Linked DNA regions of Drosophila melanogaster. The protein of the gene in region 1 interacts with the protein of each later gene in a pairwise test. Each region holds a gene or a part of one and is shown in the gene's direction. Other genes may lie near its edges. The genes, in order: CG7208, lush and alphaKap4.

The links.
Region 2: the proteins of CG7208 (region 1) and lush interact in a two-hybrid assay, tested with the Drosophila melanogaster proteins (one large-scale study listed by BioGRID).
Region 3: the proteins of CG7208 (region 1) and alphaKap4 interact in a two-hybrid assay, tested with the Drosophila melanogaster proteins (one large-scale study listed by BioGRID).

What each region holds. Positions count from the first base shown.
Region 1 is NT_033777.3:18,183,039-18,187,619, reverse strand, and holds CG7208 (uncharacterized protein), read left to right. Parts: upstream 1-1,904; 5' UTR 1,905-2,031; coding exon 2,032-2,085; exon of another isoform or gene 2,086-2,122; intron 2,123-2,222; exon of another isoform or gene 2,223-2,314; coding exon of another isoform or gene 2,315-2,359; intron 2,360-2,474; coding exon 2,475-2,962; intron 2,963-3,026; coding exon 3,027-3,837; 3' UTR 3,838-3,964; downstream 3,965-4,581. Other genes in the region: Arp5 (Actin-related protein 5), read right to left, coding at 1-1,247, 1,306-1,800; cdm (cadmus), read left to right, coding at 4,274-4,429, 4,528-4,581.
Region 2 is NT_037436.4:19,603,813-19,608,014, reverse strand, and holds lush (lush), read left to right. Parts: upstream 1-1,924; 5' UTR 1,925-1,953; intron 1,954-2,043; exon of another isoform or gene 2,044-2,059; intron 2,060-2,568; 5' UTR 2,569-2,763; coding exon 2,764-2,985; intron 2,986-3,040; coding exon 3,041-3,191; intron 3,192-3,251; coding exon 3,252-3,340; 3' UTR 3,341-3,617; downstream 3,618-4,202. Other genes in the region: CG9372 (uncharacterized protein), read right to left, coding at 1-12, 190-769, 838-974, 1,034-1,182, 1,347-1,434. UniProt on the Drosophila melanogaster protein: Odorant-binding protein required for olfactory behavior and for activity of pheromone-sensitive neurons.
Region 3 is NT_037436.4:6,008,840-6,012,629, reverse strand, and holds alphaKap4 (alpha Karyopherin-4), read left to right. Parts: upstream 1-1,608; 5' UTR 1,609-1,678; coding exon 1,679-1,978; intron 1,979-2,045; coding exon 2,046-3,074; 3' UTR 3,075-3,184; downstream 3,185-3,790.

The sequences.
Region 1 (4,581 bases):
ATGAGCTCCTTGATTAGTCGCTCCTTGAGACCCTTGAATTGGGCACAACCGCCGGTTAGGTACACGTGCTCAACCAGGCGCTGCTGCTCAGCGGCGGGAAATAGCTTCAGCACGAATGCTATTAGTTCTGCTAGCCCCGCCTCTGAGCAACCAATCATGCTGGGCTGGAATAGAACCTCCGGCACGCGAATGTTCTCAACCCCAAAGTGCAGCTGGTAGTTCTCGGCGGCACTCTGTGGCGGAACATTGGAGTTGCCATCGGTGTTGGCATCATAGTGATTTAGGATCTTATCGAACTGCATCAACTTTTCGTTATCTGCATCCGAATCGCTGTCGTCGTTGTAGCGATTGATTCGCTTGTACACATCCCAGTCGTTGTCGTTCATCCCAAAGCCATCGTCCTCTTCCTCGCCGTTCGCCTTGCGCCGCTTCTCGTTCTTGGCCAGTGATGAAATGATTCGCATCCGTTCCTGCGCGGCGTGGGTGTGTCGCTTGGCCTGCTCGGATCGCTGCTGCTGGCGCGCCTGCTTGCGCCCGAGTATTTTCTCCCGCTTGCCCTGGAGTTCGGCCAACCAGTCCGCCTGGGACATGCCCTCTGGAGGTTTCGGCATCTTGTTCAGCCTCTCCTGCTGCTTGCTGGGGCGCGGGCCACTCTGAGCTCTCTCCTGGGCACGCTTAATACGCGAGTTTATGGTTGCAATGAGGGAATCCAAGTCCTCCAATGTACCAATCTGCTGTTGCTGTAGAGCTCGCTCAAACTTGTCCAGCTTTTTCTGCTCGTACAGTTGCCTCAGCTTGTTGTAGACGAATAACTGCTGCTCATCCTCGCGCAGTTTCTCCTGCTCCCGGTTTTTTTTTATGTCCAGCAGACGATGTGCCAGCTCGCGACGCTTCTCCTGCTTCTGCTCAGCGGTTAGCATGGCGTTAGTGGCGGTCACCGCATTGTACGGCAGTTGTATCTTCATTATGTGCTCGTCGTAATAGTCCATCTGGGCCCATTGCACCAGCTCCTCCTTGTAATCAACAGCAATGTGGCAGTGCTCATGGACCAATTTCTCCATACGACTGATGGTGATGGCATTCAGATGGACGGGATACTTCATTTGCATGAGCCGGAAGAGGTAGGTGATGATGTGGTAGCCACCCACATTCAGGCGACGCACATGCTCCAGCTGGAGTTTGCCATCTAACACGGGAATGACGTGGGTGGTGCTGTAGCCAAAGGAAATGATCAGGGCATCGGATATCTAAAGGGGAAATCTCGTATTAATTGGATGTTAGCAATTGCAAGGGCCAATAAACAACATTTTTCTGCTTTTGCTGATGATGCTTCCAGCTGTAGAGCGCATCTATGCCGTAGGATACAGACGGAATACCGTAGCACTCGAAGAGCAGCTCGTTCATCTGCTGGCGGCAAAAGTTGGGGTTGGCCAGCGCCTCTGTGAGGATGATTGGGTGGTCGATCTTGTCCTGTCCATCGAATCCCATCTTGGTGAATATGTAGTCGAAGATCTGCTCCTGGTGATTCCAGTTGGTTATCACATTCCGCTCGAATGGACTCTTCAGATGCGCACGCACCGCCTCGATGTTGGTGATGTCATTGCCCACCTGGATCTCGGCAGATTGCTCCACTGTTGTCTGCGATGCGGATCCCTCCGAAGCAGCTGCTTCCTTTTTGCGATCCTTGCGCGGCTTGGTCAGCACATTGCGGAACCGCAAGTCCGGCTCCTTGGAGTCGCTCCAGCCCACGCGGCATTCGTAGGATCCATTATCGATGACCAAAACACGTTTACCCGCCATTACAATTGGTTATTTCATTGCTTTTCAGTCAACAAAAAAACTCAGTTTCGCTTTCCACCCAATTCGTAAACAGTAATGCCGCAAAACCAGTGTTGCAGAGTGCCATTTTCCCAGTGTCAAGTCAAAATTCGAGTGAGATATTTTACAATATTAAATTTTATACAAGATCTCCAAAAGTGTTTTTAACTCTTTTCGTTAAATTAATAATTTTGATTTTAAACTTTAAAAAAAATGGTGTTTGTACTAGCTTACATTGAATCAAAGTACCTCAAGGAGGATGGAAAGGTAACTACTACCTTACATAATTATCTTATTTATTACTGGTTCATCGTTCAAAGCATTCAGTGTCGTAAAGTGCCAAGCATACTGTAAAACGAAAGCTTTGGCATAACGGTTCTAAAGATTCTCCAATAAAAAAGCGCATCAACATCTTGAATATTCTATTTTGAGAGACACACTTATTTTGTATATTACCAATTGTTAATTCAAGTTTTAATATCTTCTCTTACATAAAATGTTCGTCAAAGTGAAATTAGATGCCGAGGGAAACACAAGTGTGGTATGCAGTTATCTTAAGCCCGCACATATTTTACAATTGTGGCTTATAAATGGAGCTATAATAATTGAAGCTTAAATTTAATAAATACATATTTTCATTTCTCAATCCCATACAGATGCCGGAAATGTTCGAGCTCCACAATAATGCGACCATTGGTGAATTGAAGCAAAAACTGGAGGTAAAAGTAGGTCTTCCCTTGGCTCGCCTAAACGTACAGAGTTTTCACAAGTCTCTGGAAAACGATGAGTTTATTACAAATTTGCTCAGAATTCCGGATAAAAGCGATTATACTTATCCGTCGACAACGCTTAATGGTACAGCCTTTTCGCTGTACCACGAAAATTCCTTTGTAGGATTTCTCCAATTCTATACAATTCCAGAGGGCAAGAGCCAACTGGATTTCCTTAACATGCCGAAGAGCTCTATGCTTCTGCCAGTGGACAGGCTTCCGCAGTTTTGCGAGGCTTCGAACTCGCAAGATTCCTCCGCATCCAGTGCGTCGAACCAGACGAACGCCAGCTTCGAATCCGCAAGCACGAGCGCCAGCTCCGTAGCGCGAAAGACGAGAGTGTGCGCCTCCGATGAGGAATCGGCTGCCAAAAGGTGTGTGTTGTGTGTAATAACTATATATGTAAATGATAGGGATACCCAACTGATTCATTCACAGAATACGAAGCAACCAAGAGAACAGCGTGGTCAAGGTGGTTCCGCAGCAGAATCTGCTCGCGGACAAACGAGCCGGCAGCATGGCTTCCATATTTGGTTCGAAGATCCACCTGATGAACTGCTGCAAGACGGAGACCAGCCGCACAAGCTGCTCAGTGGAGCAGGCCGAGGAGTGCAAGGAGAGGAAGAAGGACTGCTGCACGCCAAAGAATTGTCGCAAGAGGGATACTCGGCCGCCGTATGCGAACACAATGCCCGAGAACCGACGTTACGCCTTGGTGATAACTAACCAGAGTTCGTGCTCGGATGGTGTGGACACTATCGCCCTAATGGAGCACTTTCATTCAATATTCGAGGACAGTGGATCGAGCGTCAGCGATCTCAATTTTAGTGAGTGTGCCTCAACGCAGACATTCGACTGCAACATGCTGGTGGTCTGCGAGGATAACGAAACGGCCCAATGGGTCATCGAAGCAGTCGAAGGTGTGGAGCCGCCCCACTCCTGCCAGCCCTTCATTAAGTTCTTCGATCTAGTGAGGACGACCTTTGTCCTGCCCTTGGTCAGTCCGAATAAGTCGCTCTGTGTGATCTTCGCATTACTGGAGTCACAGAACCCGGGCTTGAATACCGACAGATGGGCCGTCGTTAATCGCTCCACTTTGGACTGCCAAGACGTGGAGAGGCAGGTCGCTCAATTCTGCGACAACGTCCTTATTGAGGTGTATATCGATGAGGATAGCAGGGATTTCATCGCCGACCGGTGTTCCAAATTGCGATACTGTTTCTGGCAACTTAAATTCGATTTTATATAGGACTTTTTGGGCTTTCCAAATTCACTGTTAACTTGTTAAGATACTCCTCAATTGCAGAGAGTATTTACTAAATAGAAATAGTAAAATTTTATGAAGTGTACGAATGAATAAATGTTGTTATAAATTGAATTTTTCCTGCATATATCGAGCATATAGGCCACAAGCAATTTATACTATATTACATATTTATTTATTATTAAATACGTACATTTCAACACTTTTTATAAAAAATACAGGAGGAAAAAAAGCGCGGCAAAGTCGAAAATGGAGTGACCGCACACTCGGCCCGTCCGCGAATTGGTGACTTCGCGCGTTGGTCACACTCGCGAATCCAGTGCCCACAGGCAGAAGCAAAGAAAACCACCACCCGAGGATTAGCGGACAGGAGACTGCCTCTCGGCAGCAGCAGCATTAGCAGCAGCAGCAGCCATTCCACATGGAGCCCATTGACATTGCGCGTCTGGAGGAGGCGGTCGTGTCGTTCTACCGCTCGAACTCGCAGAACCAGGCGATCACCCATGAATGGCTTACCGATGCGGAGGCCAGTCCACAGGCCTGGCAGTTTTCCTGGCAGCTAATGCAGCTCGGCAAGGTGAGTACCACGCAGGACCTGCGCATCAATGCATCAATTACCCGGATATGTATACTCATGCACCTACCGCCCACCCAATCACCCCACCGCCCACACAGAGTCAGGAGGTGCAGTTCTTCGGCGCCATCACGCTGCACTCCAAGCTTATGAAG
Region 2 (4,202 bases), on another chromosome or scaffold:
CGGCAGGTTAACCTGAAGATAGGAGTAATACATATTTTCTTAATTTAAAAAAGCTTTCTTTGTTATGTTCAGCTTGAGTTACTAAATTGCTGAAACCAATTTGTTTAGATCAATATAAGAAATTGAAAGCTTAAGAACAAAATAAAAACGCTGTATATAAAATGAAATATACTTTAATATGCGACCCACCTCCATGAGGATGTTAGAATGAGGACCGCCAAACTTTTGGGTGCCCCAACCGGTGACAATGGCGTTTCTATCCGACCAATCTTCGTTCACGGGCGGCATGCAAACTGGCCAGATGTAGGTGTTGAATATAGTCGCCCTGTCGATTCTGACAATTGCAATATCATTGTCGTAGTTCTGTGGATTATAATCGATATGGAGCACCATGTTGGCAATCCGGAAATCCCTCGCCCTCGTCTCATTCAGCATATGCGTGTTGTACTCGCCCAGACGCACGAAGATGTCCTCCTTGTTCTTCTTGTAGATGCAGTGAGCGGCAGTTAGGACATGACGGTCGGTGATCAGGACACCACCGCACCAAACGAAGGGCAGACCCTCCTGCAGCAGGGCCGCCATCCAAGGCCACTCGTCTGGCTCGGCTGGCCGTCCACCGGTGAGGCGGGGAAACTGCCTGGACGTGATCCCACAACCTCGCTGCTCCGGCTTATTAACGATGCGCGGCTCATCACCGTCCGCACTGGTCACGACTTGCGGACTAAATCGGTTGCTCGTCGACTGGTCAGTGCAGCAAATGCCTATGGAGCTGAAAGACAAATTATTTGTACATATAATACAAGGATGCCAAGCCATTAAGAAGAAAAATTCATATACCTTTTCTCAATGATGCAAAGCTGGGAGACCAGACGCCAGACATCATTCTTAAGTTCTGGCATGCGACAGTAGATAATGTGGCGACATCGGCCGGATTCACCCAATGGAGTGCTACATGCTCCATAATCCTTGTTCTCCTGCGGTTATCATTTGTAGTTACCTGATACTGGTATGTATGCATAAGACATAAACTCACCAGCAATTGCGAGGTGGGAGCCTGTCGCTTGTTTAGGCGATGTTGGGACAGGAAACTTACGACGCGGTTTTCCCCAGTGCGATTTTCGTATACCTGATTCTCCGACTCCCCCCATTGAAACTCATCATTATCGCTGAAGTCGAGAAGATCTGGGTGGTAGACGAAAATCTTTAGGTTTGGTTTACATTAGATTCTTGGAATTTGTCTTAGAAATATCAAGTATTTGGGTGAAATGAGTTTTAACTTTGATAAATAACTTTGCTATTAAATGCACCTGCACAATTTTTTATGTTGGTATAAAAACGTGACTCACCTAAAAAATCAGTGGATACAGTCTTGGCGATTGTACTCTGCGGGATATAGCCCAGTAAAATCACCAATGCCCAAAGAAATGCCTTCATTTTGAGTTATTTTCGCGAGTGCAGTGGGAATTTTAATCGCGTGTCGCTTCCGTTGCCCGCTGAATCAGTTCTGTTTTGACAGTTCTCCAACCAGCTAAAGCTACTTCTCCGATATGGAGCTGAGCTCAGATCGGCTCAATTTACATACGTCTTGCCTTGGATACTGCTGTTGAACCTGTTCGATGCGTCGACACTATGGGGTTTTCCTGGCTATTAAAGCGTCTTACTCCATGCTCAGTTCCCAGGCGAAAGCTTAATGGGATTGGAACCGCTAGCGATATAGTAACTATTATATAATACTTGAGTTAATCCGAGCACTTGGCTTATCTGTAGGGCGGAAAGCGAGCCACTGAAATGACGTCCCCTTTAATGCCTCTGAGCTTAGACCCAATTTGGTGTATTATCTCAATGTTGCTGGCAACAGCTTGGCAACATGTTGCCAGGGGCGAGTAGTGCCCATGATGATCAGTTTGGATTCTCCGAGGCGAACGTGATGTGCATCGCAAATGATCCGGTTCGGTGGGTTTTGATTCCATAGAAGTATCATCTCCGAAATACTAAGGAAGATTTTATACTCAGTTATATTCTCTATTTAATTGCCTTTTGACGCTTGCACATCAAAGTAGTAATAATAAATCAATTGCACGGCACAACCGGAATCGAAGAAAACATTTGCGATGCACGGTTTGATTGTCACTGCAGAAATGATTTTAATGTCTTAATTTAAAACCCAACCCTTTAACATTTTAACATAATTTAAGTAATAGTATTGAATGATGGAGGCGAAGAAAATGGAATGGGGCGACTTCAGTTGGCAGATTATGTTATTATGTAATAAGACGAATACCGAATAAGTGTACTAAAAAATAAGTTTAAAATAGAAAGCGTCAAACAAATAATTAGTCAAAATATCCTTAAAAAATATTTAAAATATATTATTTTAATATTATTGCGAAGACCATATTTTTATTATTTAACAATTTTTATAGGTAGAGCACTGGATTTGAATTTCTGGGAATATTATATGATCACATATACATATGAATATACATATATGCGGTGCTATAAACTCATCGCTTACCCACTTTATCCTGAAAATTGGTTTAAAAATTATTATTTATTATTTTTTAACAGGTATCTCTAAAATTCGACTATTGTCGTGTCATTCAAATGGTACAAATACAACTTCCTAGTCAACTCAAATGGCGTGCGAGTGTGTTACTTAATTATTAATCCCTGCGATTTAATTACCACCTTTCCCTGCCACCATGATCACCTATAAAACTCTCCTACGACATGGTTACTCAACGTATTTAGCTTTCCGCCACCATGAAGCATTGGAAACGACGCTCTTCCGCTGTTTTCGCGATCGTCCTGCAAGTGCTGGTACTCCTGCTACCCGATCCTGCAGTTGCCATGACGATGGAGCAGTTCTTGACCTCGCTAGACATGATCCGCAGTGGCTGTGCGCCGAAGTTTAAGCTCAAAACAGAAGATCTCGATCGGCTTCGCGTGGGTGATTTCAACTTTCCGCCATCGCAGGATCTTATGGTGAATGCCGCTTTCATTTTGCAGGCACCAGTGTTTGAATCCTTTATCCTTTTAGTGCTACACAAAGTGTGTGTCTTTGATGGCGGGCACTGTGAACAAAAAGGGGGAGTTCAACGCTCCCAAGGCGCTGGCCCAACTTCCGCATCTGGTTCCCCCGGAAATGATGGAGATGTCCAGGAAATCCGTTGAAGCTTGTCGGGATACGCGTAACTACACCCACACTTACCTTTCATAGCTGTAAATATATGTAAGGTATATCTTTGCAGATAAACAATTTAAGGAATCTTGCGAGAGGGTCTACCAGACGGCCAAGTGCTTCTCTGAAAACGCCGATGGGCAGTTCATGTGGCCTTAAAAATGTTTCTGGAAACTAAATTCATACTGGTTCATCCTTTAATGACCAATCCTTGGATGATTGCTTTATTATCTATGTTGAAATCATCAAATAGAATTGGAATTCGTAAAACATAAATTATGACAAGAAAGGAAGTTAGCTTCAAAAAGCCGAAGTATATACTTATATACCCTTGCAGTAATATGATGTTGATTAAATTGAAACCAAAATTTATATATTAAAGACAACTTATGTATACAGAATAACATCAATTTATGATTAAAAACGACGAAACTGTAGTTTGTGTTATATTATTTCATTCGAAACTCTATTTTCCGACTATTCGTATGCCTATATGACAAAGTCGTCCAATTCTGATTGAATCAAAACTGAAATTATATATTGTCAAAGTAACAAAGAACATTTTGTTTAAATTAATTTTTCGATTATGTATATACCCGCAATCGACTGAATTCGATAAGCAAATCTTTTTTTTTGAAAACAATCTTTAATCATATATTTGAAAACCTTTTTGTAGATTAAAATGGCACCCCAAAATATAAACACGCCGCATTGATTTCAAACATGTTATAGTTTATTGCTGATATTATTAACTAAATACAACGGTTTTATGTTTGCATAACGCATACTTATACATTTTGTAATCGATAAACATCCAATTGGCTTAGCAATGCATTCAAACTTAGGGAGATCTTTGCATTCAAGAGGTTACAAAATAAATGCAAATCTTATACAAAATGGTTGCCTTGCAAATCTGCGTACAAAGTTCTCTGTAATCGAGAGTAATCGATATCTTAAATTTCGGTTTCGGTATAGGAGTAGTGTCTTTATATATGTATGTAGATCTCTCCAAAAAGGGTCT
Region 3 (3,790 bases), on another chromosome or scaffold:
TCACCCCGCCTCGGAAAACCTCGGCTGGCGGAAATTGCGCACACGTCACAGGGCGGCAATTTTCATATAACCGTCGGCCATTTGCCTACTCCTTTCCTCAAAAATGGAGAAATATCGAATGCATATTCCCATTTTTTAAAGGTGAGAATGAATTTGGTTCATTTCATAAAATATTTATTTTAATCGGCCCCATGCACAAACGCAATTGTGGAACATTTACCCATTTGGTTTAGTTACGTATTTTTACGACTGATTTATTTTTGCTGATTTAACGCTTTCAAAATGATTCCTGTCGTTAATTAAATATTTGTTTTAAACACTTCAATGCCCATCGTGTTTAACCCTTGAGCCTTTCTGCATCGCATAAATTCACGTTTAACTGATTTTCGCAACCAAATGCATCAAAAATTCATGCGTGTGCAATTAATGACATTACTGGAGCTCTTGGCCAGTACGAGGTATTTTTTATTCAATAAATTATAGTCATTATCATTATTAAACAGCATGAGGGGCTCTCTTCAAAATGCCGAGCATTACCGTAATGCGTGCTCTACTTAATTTTTAATCACAATGAACGCCATGAAATTGTCATAAAAACTAAAATTTCATTTTATTAAATGTGTGGAAACAAACATTCGGAAGATTGTAATTTTTAGACAACTGCATTGGGAAAATCACTTTAAAAGTTTGTGCATTTTCGGATCAAAGATAGATTTTTTTGGTTCTTTAATGTGTAGTTTTCGCCTTTAAGTTGGTATTTTTTCAATTAACTGCCACTCCCACACCATTTCCGCCCATACCCACACACATTTATCCACATGTAGGTCAAAAATGGCAGAGCACAAGCAAAAGCGTTGCATACCTTCGGGCTGTCAATTTATTTTTCGCGCTTCGCATGTTCTTGGGCCATGTTTTTCCGATTCTCCCGCGCCTGTTTTTGCGTCCTTGAAATTTATGCCTTCGACGCAGGCAAAGCGCCAAGTGTTGAGAACATCGGAGATAGGCACAAGTGCCACATGGCATGTAATGCGCTCATTATGCTGCTGTACCTACACGAATATATATATATATGTATATGTATCTACATATAGATGGATGCCACATGCAAAGGATGCCTACCGCCTTTCGCCCTTGGAACTGGGCCAATGTGAACGGCATTGTCTTTTGGGTCGCCTCCGCCGGAGAGATAATAACAACAAATTATTACACTTGCCGAGGGACCGTTATAGTGGAGCAATGGGATGGGGAGCAGAGGTCTTTACTGGGGTAACTAAATTAAGCATATCGTTGATAACCTAACGCAGATCGGACGGCATGCGATAAGGCATAGTCCTTTATCCTGGCTGGCTCTTTGCCAGCTCGTGCTGTGGGTTGAAACTGGGTGGGTGGCCTTCATCTCTGCACTGTGAAAAATATTTGGAGATTCTGTTTGCAATTCAAACAGAATAAATATAACATGCAATCATTTCAGTTGAGAGCTAATGTAACCTTAATATTTATTTATAACTATAACTATCACAGTTATACAAAAAGTTCCCGTGATCAAGAAAGTTTCCGAAAACGATTCAGTTAAGAAGGTTCTGCCCTATTTGTTAAAAAAAAGAAACACAATTTTATCGTAGACCAAACACATAGCAAAATTTTAAATACACAATACAAAATTTTCCATACAAATACAATGCAGAAGCGTAAACGCCGCTTCCTAAAAAAAGGGCAGAACTTGATGATGCTGCGGACGCTTCGATTGGAAAAAGCCAAAAAGGCTGAGCTCCAGAAAGAGCTGACTATTTACAATGCTTTAACCAAATGTAAATTAACCTCCTCGGAAGTTGTTCCCGACGTCAATAAGTTACTTAAGAGCAATACGATAGGAAACCTGGTGGAGTCCCTTGGCCACGGAAATAAGAACAAAATTCGAGCCGACGCCGCAGATGCTTTAGCTCATATAGCCAGTGGCTCATCGGAGCACTCAAATTTAGTGGGTTTTATATTATTTTCTAGGCTATTGCTATTATTCCTATTATATTGTAATTAAACTCTTGCAGATTGCGAAGGCTGGCGCCGTGCCACGATTGATTCGCCTTCTTCAGTCACCCGATCCTGAAGTCTGCGAAAAGGGTATATTGAGTTTGGGGAATCTCTTGCACTTTGCTCCGAACCTCCGTGACTATATCATAAGACACGGACTTATGCAAAAGCTGATGTCTATTATTCAGGATAAAAGCACTTGCACTTTAATGTTGAGTCATGTAACCTGGGTTCTAAGAAAACTGTGCATAAGCTCTCAACCATCGCCACCTGATAATGCAGCTGAGATCATTCAGGCATTGAACATAGTATTGTACAACCCAGAGGCCAACGTTTTAGAGGACGCACTTATGGCAGTGCGTAATTTGGCCCATGGAAATGAAACGATTCAAATGTTACTTGATTTTGAAGTTGTACCCAGGATCATATACTTGCTGGAGCATCCGAACGTTACGGTTCAGAACGCCGCACTGCAAGCCCTAATAAATATAGCAACTGGATCCGAAGAGCAGATTCAAGAGTTGCTTAACAATAACCTTTTGCCCCATTTATCGGCTCTGATGTCCAATAGTGATCCAGATATTCGCTGTCAAGTTCTTAAGCTTTTGCTAAACATCGCTGACGGAAATATATTCCAAAGGCACGCCATTATGAATGCAGGTCTCCTGCATAAAATACTGGAGTGCTTAAAAGCTGATGCGATTTCATTAAAATCTGCAGCTGCCTTGACAATCACCACGTTGGCCATCGATAAGGACAAGAATCTCCTGTGCTATCTTATGAGACAGGGAGTAATTCCAGAGTTCTGCAATTTACTCTTCTGCCAGGAAAGAGACATCTTATCTAATGTGCTCGATATACTGAGCACTATGCTAGATGTGGATCCATCTTTCTCGGCAGAGGTGTCCGGCATCATCGAATGGAGTGGAGCTTTAAATAATATCAGGATGCTCCAAAGCAGCGAACATGAGGAAATCGCAGCTGTGGCACGTAAAATCATTGGTAACTACTTTCCCGCCAAACCACACATCGCAACTAAATTCTAATGTGCTTTTATATGAAGTAACATTAATCATACCTTTGTACTTTTCCATCCAAATTCCAGAACTTTTTCTATATAAAGCGATTTTATATTGAGTGAATATAAAATGATTTGAAGAACACTCTCTCTTAGTACGGCCATGGCCTTGAAAAGAGATGCTTAAATACTGGCCGCAAAAGAATCGTTTTTATATGTATGTGTCTGTATTTTTGTGTAGGTCCTGCATCAATTGAACTTCCGCATGAAAAACAAGTTTCGTGCGAAAGCCAGATTATTGCAATCATAAATTTTTATGATTTTCCCATTGGTTGCAGCTCGAGGCAAGAGTGTGGAAAGTGTGGGCGGTAAAAGCGTTCCGTGTTGCGTGGGCAGCGTGGGAAAAGTGCTGGCATACCGCACCGAATTTTATGTGTATTTAATAGCCTTGCAGATATGATGCAGAAAGTTATTATACCCAGCACGGCCGAGTCCTCCCATTCCCCAAGCAATGCTGTAGGAAACCGATAAAGAAGGGGAAAATAAGCTATATATACTTATACATTTTCCCATATCAGCGGCCTGAGTTTGTGTTTTTTCGACGGCCATTAAAATGAAATTTAATATAAACTTAGCGCCAAATGACGAGGGCCGTAAAAAGCATATTGACATTGCCACAAGATCAAGCCATCCCATCCATCAATCAATCAATCAGGCCTGACACCAGCTGTGGCAGCCGCAAAA